Linked DNA regions of Drosophila melanogaster. The protein of the gene in region 1 interacts with the protein of each later gene in a pairwise test. Each region holds a gene or a part of one and is shown in the gene's direction. Other genes may lie near its edges.

Evidence for each region. Proteins that work in one complex are often made in the same cells at the same time.
Region 2: the proteins of mRpS5 (region 1) and cpb interact in a two-hybrid assay, tested with the Drosophila melanogaster proteins (one large-scale study listed by BioGRID).

Annotation. Positions count from the first base shown.
Region 1 is NT_037436.4:24,535,122-24,538,879, forward strand, and holds the start of mRpS5 (mitochondrial ribosomal protein S5), read left to right. Parts: upstream 1-2,114; 5' UTR 2,115-2,192; intron 2,193-2,241; exon of another isoform or gene 2,242-2,276; 5' UTR 2,277-2,353; coding exon 2,354-2,495; intron 2,496-2,789; coding exon of another isoform or gene 2,790-2,791; exon of another isoform or gene 2,792-3,014; intron 3,015-3,758.
Region 2 is NT_033779.5:1,702,997-1,706,754, forward strand, and holds the start of cpb (capping protein beta), read left to right. Parts: upstream 1-1,905; 5' UTR 1,906-2,115; coding exon 2,116-2,118; intron 2,119-2,134; exon of another isoform or gene 2,135-2,281; coding exon of another isoform or gene 2,282-2,284; intron 2,285-2,403; coding exon 2,404-3,231; 3' UTR 3,232-3,758. UniProt on the Drosophila melanogaster protein: F-actin-capping proteins bind in a Ca(2+)-independent manner to the fast growing ends of actin filaments (barbed end) thereby blocking the exchange of subunits at these ends.

The DNA of each region.
Region 1 (3,758 bases):
TATCATCCTAATGCCGAGAAGGCTAAGCGCGCCCTGGACGGATCGATGCGAATGGTGTACGATTCGCACCGAATGTCATTTTGCAGGTGAGAAATCTCACACCGTTCGTTTCCAACGAGCTGCTGTACAAGTCCTTCGAAATCTTTGGTCCCATCGAGAGGGCCAGCATCACCGTCGACGATTCTGGCAAGCATATGGGCGAGGGCATAGTTGAGTTTGCTAAGAAGTCATCGGCCAGCGCCTGCCTGCGGATGTGCAATGAGAAGTGCTTCTTCCTGACTGCTTCCCTTCGACCGTGTCTGGTCGATCCGATGTCTGATCCGATCAAAATGCCAACACCATTTTAACAATTTGCATATTTGATGCCCGATAAATCGAAATGTAAAAATTGATCCTTTGCACAAATTAAAACGAATCCATTCCGCTTTGCGTGTTCCTCAAACAATTTCTTAATAACTAATGCTATTTTATACATTCACAAAGTATTTGATTCGCATTGAAGTGGTAATTTCTGTGCAAGGGCATTTCTTTTAACTGCTTATTGGATTGTAAGAATATCATTTTTACTTTTTAAATTAAATATTAATGAATTTATCCCTTTTCAGGCAAACAGTGAGAGTCTGAAGCCAATAACCAAACTTTGTAAAAAGTGCCTGTGCATTCCGGCCAGTTCAACAGAATATGAAAGAATATGTCTTATTATGAATATAAAAAACCATTATTTTGTTATTACTAAATATTTTGAATACTGCGTTAATTCAAATAATAGTTTGCATTGAAGCAAATAAAGCGTTTTTGTTTAAAAATGCATTTTAATTCCTGTGCATGTATTTCTGCATTTTTCTAAAGGGCTACTGTAATATATATTTTTTAATTTGCAAGGGTATATAAACATCGGTTCACGTTAAATTATAGTTCCTTTATTTTTGTTTTCTTTTTAACTATCCATACTATCGATGTTTTCTTAAAAAACCATCGATAGTGCCGACCATCGATGATTCTCCAGCTCTATTCTCGCGCGCACTTTAAAGTCAGCCAAATAATATACAATTAATTCTATCGATATTAGTGTCACCTAGTATTTTATATTTATACACAGCTTACACTTAGTGTTTTATATTTATACACGGCTTTTATCTTATCGCAGAAACATTTTTTTTTAATAATCAAGGCTTGTTATCTTCTAATGAACCCCTTTTAAGAAATTACATTCGCTTGCGTAATACCAACTTTTTTAACAAATGTAAGTCAAATGTTTCAATCATAAAGTAAAAGAACAAATAAAATTTAACAAATGAAACTTTTGGCTGACTGACTTAAACAGGGGGAAATTTAAAACTTTTAAAACCTATAACATATTAACGAAGAAAAATATAAGGATCTGCATTTATTGTTTATATTGACAATAATGATTTATTAACTTCGTGTATTTTTACAAATATTATTTTTTCCTCATATATCAGGGAGTTTGCAGTAGTGCAATGACCTTTTATTTTTAGAAGTACCGGGTCACTAGCCGAGTCGATATGGCCATATATGGTCCGTATAGATATCGAAATCTAAGGAACTAGTAAAGCTAGAAATTTGAGGTCTATAGATATACGTAGACGCTGCGCAACATTGTTAACTGATGGTGTTACGCTTACACATAAGGATAATGTTCTGACATATATTAAGTTTTTTTTATCAGTTTTGTTAATTTCTATCAATATGACAAAAAACTTTTGCCACGCGCACAATGCGCCCAAAACTACAGCGACCAAACTAGATATTTAGATTTTTCAATTATATTTCAGTCTCGTAAATGAATATCGTTTTGCTAATAAATGCTTAGAACGCCAACAATACCACAAAAAAATGTTTTATCTCTCTTGTCAATTTCTATCAGTATAAACACCTTTTGGCAACGCCACATTATACGGCCACTAACTGGTCAAAACACATCCACACATTTGAAAAAAATAAATTTGTTCTTATATTATTTGCTATTTTCCCAATTTCTTTTGATCTGAGTAACGGGTAACTGATAGTCATCGAACTCGACTAAAGCGATGCAAATAGTCGTTCCTGGTAGCTCGACGTTCATAGAGACGGACAGACGGATCCACTCGTCTATTAATTCTGATCAAGAATATATATGGTCGGAAACGTTTCCTTCTGTCTGTTACGTACTTTTACTCTAGGAGTAACGGGTATAACTATGAAGGACTAGTCTGGACGGGTCTTAAAGCATGACGCACGTCTTATAATTGTTTTAATTTGGTCTTTTTTTGTAGCGTTACTGCTAGTGTTGCTGTATTAACCTCATAAATATCCTCAGTATCAAAACGTCTTAATAAATTCATATGTAAATATGAGTCAAACATTGATCCGTCGTCTCTTCAATCAAGCTTGTAGCAGAAATATTTTTATTTTGAACCAAAGCTTGTTATCTTCACATGAACCCATTTTACCAGGTTACATTGGTTTACGTAATACCAGCTTCTTTAACAAATGTAAGTAAAATGTTTTAATTCAATAAAAGAGCAGAAATGTTTCTATCTGCCATTGGATAAAAATGGTTCTAGGTAGTAGTAATGGTGCAAATAAAATGAAACAAGGAATTCTTTTTCTGGCTGATTTACAGTGAAATACAGTGGGTCAGAAATTATTTCCACGAGGTGTAATTTGAATCTTTCAAAGCCTTTAAAAGAAAAATGTCAGAATCATTATGTATTTTTTATTTAAACAACAATGATTTATTATTTTCGTGTATTTTTACAAATATTATTTTTTCCTCATATTTAAAGGACTTTGCAGTAATAATGACCCTTCGTATTTAGAAGTATCGGGTCACTAGCCGAGTCGATATGGCCATGGACAAAAAACTTTTTCCACGCTTACAATCCGCCCAAAACTACTGCGACCATACTTTTGAAAAATATTTACAGTTTTTCTTTATATTTCAGTCTTGAAAATGTCTCTGTATTTTCTTATAAATATTTGAAAACCCCACAAAAAACGTATTATTTGACTTGCAAATTTTTTCTCGGTATAAAAAAAACCTTTTGGCCATGCTCCTTTAACGCCCACTTACCGGCCAAAACTTTAAATTTGTTTTCATTTTATTTGTCATTTTCTCAATTTTTTGAGATGTCTGAATATGTTGAAATTTCTAGTTTGCACTTTCACTAGCCAAAGACACTAGAATAACAAGATAAGTAACGCTCATACATTGGTTTGGCACTATGCAGCCACTTTTTTAGTGACGGTTTAATTTGCTCTCTGTCCGCTTGCTTACGCTGAGAGCGTAAGAAATCTAAAAATAGAATTTGCTTGCTTGTGCGCACTTTTTAAATATATCAAATTGGAATAGACAAAAAAAACTGAAACTGAACAACCGAATCTATTAAAAATGGATAATTTACATACATCATATTCATATTAAGTCAAATGACTTCATAAATATACTTAATAATTAAAGCAAATACAAAGGAAATTATTATAACTACTGTAACTAGTTAAATGTTAAATTTTCCAAAAAGAAGACATAAGAGAAATAAATATTTCATAAAAATAATACGTTGTAGAAAATAAAAATTTATAAAATAAACTGTTTATTGCAAGTCATATCTTGAGGCACGAAGTGCGGACACAAGCACTCAACAATCATTGTCGCATGCTGAACACTCTATTGACAAAAATTCGAATAAAAAGTAATTTTTGAAATTTATTTTGTGATATTATGATTCGGCTATTACTATTTCTAAGCTATATTT
Region 2 (3,758 bases), on another chromosome or scaffold:
TTAACCACTTGAATTCAAAAAAGACGACAACGGTCCACTTGCGAGGGAATTTCGGAATGAGAAGTACTTTACGTGCATAAGGTTAAACGAAAAACAAAAAAAAAAATAGTTTTAAAAAAACGCAAATCCGTTTGGAGCAAACTCAGGGCATTATCAAGACTCACGACGATGTATACATGCATTTAATACAAACAAAAAAAAAAAATAAATAATGAGAAGAAAAACAGAAACTTTTTCGATATGTATTACGATAAAAAAAAAAAAAATTATGAAAGCAACCGCAAAACGGATGTAATAATCATGCGAAACGATTATGAACAACTCAGGTATTAAATATTAAATGAAATATTTTTAAAAACTTATAACGAATCGAGCGGGCAGTCGGTCAGAAGTCAGAATCAGCATTTTCACAAGTTGTGCAATATTCTTAAAGTTTTCTAAATACGTAATAGTATTAATAATCTAATATGCGATCATGGCAAGGATCAGTGAGTTGAGATGTTCATAAGCATGGGATCCGAAAGGTTGAAGATCGAGGATCGATGATTGAAGATTGAGGATTGAGAGAAGGTTAGGTGAGTTTTTGAAGCACATGAGGACTAGGCGTGTAGTAAACCAGCCCTAAGAATTTTTAGTTTTACCACCCACACAAGTCAAGAAGAACAAGCCACAACAAACACACTCACAGAAACACACACACACACATACTCGACGCGAAATGCGAAAATAGTGAAATAAATAGCTAAATGAAAATGAGTTTATATAAAGAAGGAAAACATAAAACTGTGATTACATTTGATTGTCGAAGAAGCGTTGATAAGCAAGTGTTGCATAATTATTGAGCGAAAGAAAAACGATGAAACGAGAAATACGATTGAAAATGGAGTTATGTACTATTATTGAATCTGAAACCGCTTTTGATTTCGAATATTGGCACAGTGTCTAGCATGCGACAGAGCATAAGTAAATAAATCAATATTAATTAGCCGAAATATTAAACTTCAAAAGAACGACTAAGAAATACAAATTATAATTATCTAAGTTATTCGAGATTAGTGAAACCTGCCCTAATTTTACAAGTCACCTGTAACAGTTTTTATCCTGGCTAAAAATCCAGAGCTGCGAAAAAAAATCCCTCGATTTAGTTCACATTTCTCTGAACGATTTCTGTATGTAGTGCACCTTAGTTAAAAATTAAAGTCTGAGATTTTACATTTATCGTATATGGTCGAAGTATACACCTAAAGAGCGCACTTGAAGCGCGAGTCTAAGCCCAAAGCGGTTAATTAAGTTTATTGAACCTACTACTACTAACGAGGCAAAATCCCACACGCTACGTATTTGGCTAAAATTAATGTAAAAATCAAGAAATCCAAGGATCGATTCAGAAGGATACGTTTTCGGAGCACGCATATGATTTCTAAATAAGTATGTATGTATGTCTGAAGAGTGCGAAAGCGAAGCAGCTTAAATATATTTTAAACACGAACTCGGATAAAAATTTACGATTATGCCATACATTTTTGTGTAACATATTAAAAACTACGAGTAAGCTAAACCCACAGTCACACACAAACCAAACGCATTGTAACAGAAACTCACAAAACACGGAGAGGAAATGGGCAACCAGAATGGAATTAAGCATAAAAGTATATGAACGAAAACTAAATTCAATAAACTTGTTGCTAAAATATAATAAAAGTAAGACCATGGTTTTATTTCGGGCGGATTGAGTGCCAGAGTTTATTTTTATAAAGTGTACTGCAAATTATTGCCTTTTGTAAGTAAGTAACTGCCATTCGTTATGTTAATTTTCAAATATTTCCGCTAGATAGTTAGCGGGTAAGAAATCGATATACCAAATCGAGCGAGCAATCGATGCTCCACCAAAATGAACGATATCGCATAATAATCGGGCTGTGTTCCAGCTCTAGCACACCATAGCAAAAATAAAAAATCCTAATAATAAGGAAAAAGAGTCAATTTAGTGCAATCACTTGCAATATAAGCCCGAAATCCTAGCTAGAGTTTAAGATCGGCCCTGCTCAGCGAACGCAGGCCCCTAACATAAACAGTGTAAAACTATCGAAACAAGGGAAAGCAGAAAGTACCAAAATGGTGAGTAATACTACAATAGTAACAAGAAAAAAAAGCAGGCCAACAAACGGTGTTTTTGGTCGGAACCGCCCATTCTGCAAGCCAAATATTCTTGGCAATCACCTAATCCACCGAGAAAACCTCCAGAGGGGCGGCGGCCTGTGGCCTCAAATAATGCCCATATATGGTAATCCCTGGTTTGCCGGGTGGCAGTGGAAAGCGGAGGGATTTTTTGGGCTCTCTTATCGGCGGTGGTGCAGTGACTCAAATTCAATTTCACTGGTGTCTCTTCTCCTCTCTTCTCAGTCGGAAATGCAGATGGACTGTGCTTTGGATCTGATGCGGAGGCTGCCGCCCCAGCAGATCGAGAAGAACCTTATTGATCTGATAGACTTGGCACCGGATCTCTGCGAGGACTTGCTCTCCTCCGTGGACCAGCCGCTGAAGATCGCCAAGGACAAGGAGCACGGCAAGGACTATCTGCTGTGCGACTATAACCGGGATGGGGACTCCTACAGATCGCCCTGGTCGAACTCCTACTATCCGCCGCTGGAGGATGGCCAAATGCCCTCGGAACGACTGCGCAAACTGGAAATCGAGGCGAACTATGCCTTCGATCAGTACAGGGAGATGTACTACGAGGGAGGCGTCTCCTCCGTCTACCTATGGGATCTGGATCACGGGTTTGCCGCCGTTATACTGATCAAAAAGGCGGGAGATGGCAGCAAGATGATCCGCGGCTGCTGGGACTCCATCCATGTGGTCGAGGTACAGGAGAAGACCACCGGCAGGACGGCCCACTACAAGCTCACCTCCACGGCAATGCTCTGGCTGCAGACCAACAAACAGGGTTCGGGAACCATGAATCTGGGCGGATCCCTCACCCGGCAGCAGGAGCAGGACGCCAACGTCAGCGAGTCGTCGCCGCACATCGCCAACATTGGCAAGATGGTCGAGGAGATGGAGAACAAGATCAGGAACACCCTGAACGAGATCTACTTTGGCAAGACCAAGGACATCGTGAACGGACTAAGGAGCACACAATCACTGGCCGATCAGCGCCAGCAGGCGGCCATGAAGCAGGACCTCGCAGCGGCAATCCTGCGACGCAATGTCAAGCCCGAATCGAACTGAGTACTGAGCGGCTGAAGGCTGAATTTCCACATAAACCAATCCAGTCCAGGGGCGTCCCACAAGCTGGCTGCTCCCAAGAAGAGCGCAGCAATATTCGAATTGCAAGGCACTGTTGTCACCACTAAATATTGTCATAAATATAAATAATTTTCATAATATTTCGGCTGCACCCACCCAATTCGCTGTTACTCGCCCAATTGTGTTGAGCAGCTCCGTGGAGGACTCCGCTTGGACTGGACTAAAGAGCTGACTAAAAAATATTAAATACGCATTTCTAGGCAGTAAATTTGTTACATGAGAAAATTGTTACACCACGAGAAGCACATTAATGTAAATTTTGCCCGCCCGTTTCAACTGTCCTCCCACATTGTTGCCGTTTGGAGTCGCGCTTCATCCAGAGTTCAGCCGAAAATGCCAACTTCGCCGCCCTCAAGACAGTATCCATAAGTATTTGTATCTTATTTGTAATAATGCATATTTGCACCGAAGTCGAGGCACTTGCGTTTCGTTCTTAATCCTTCCGCGAA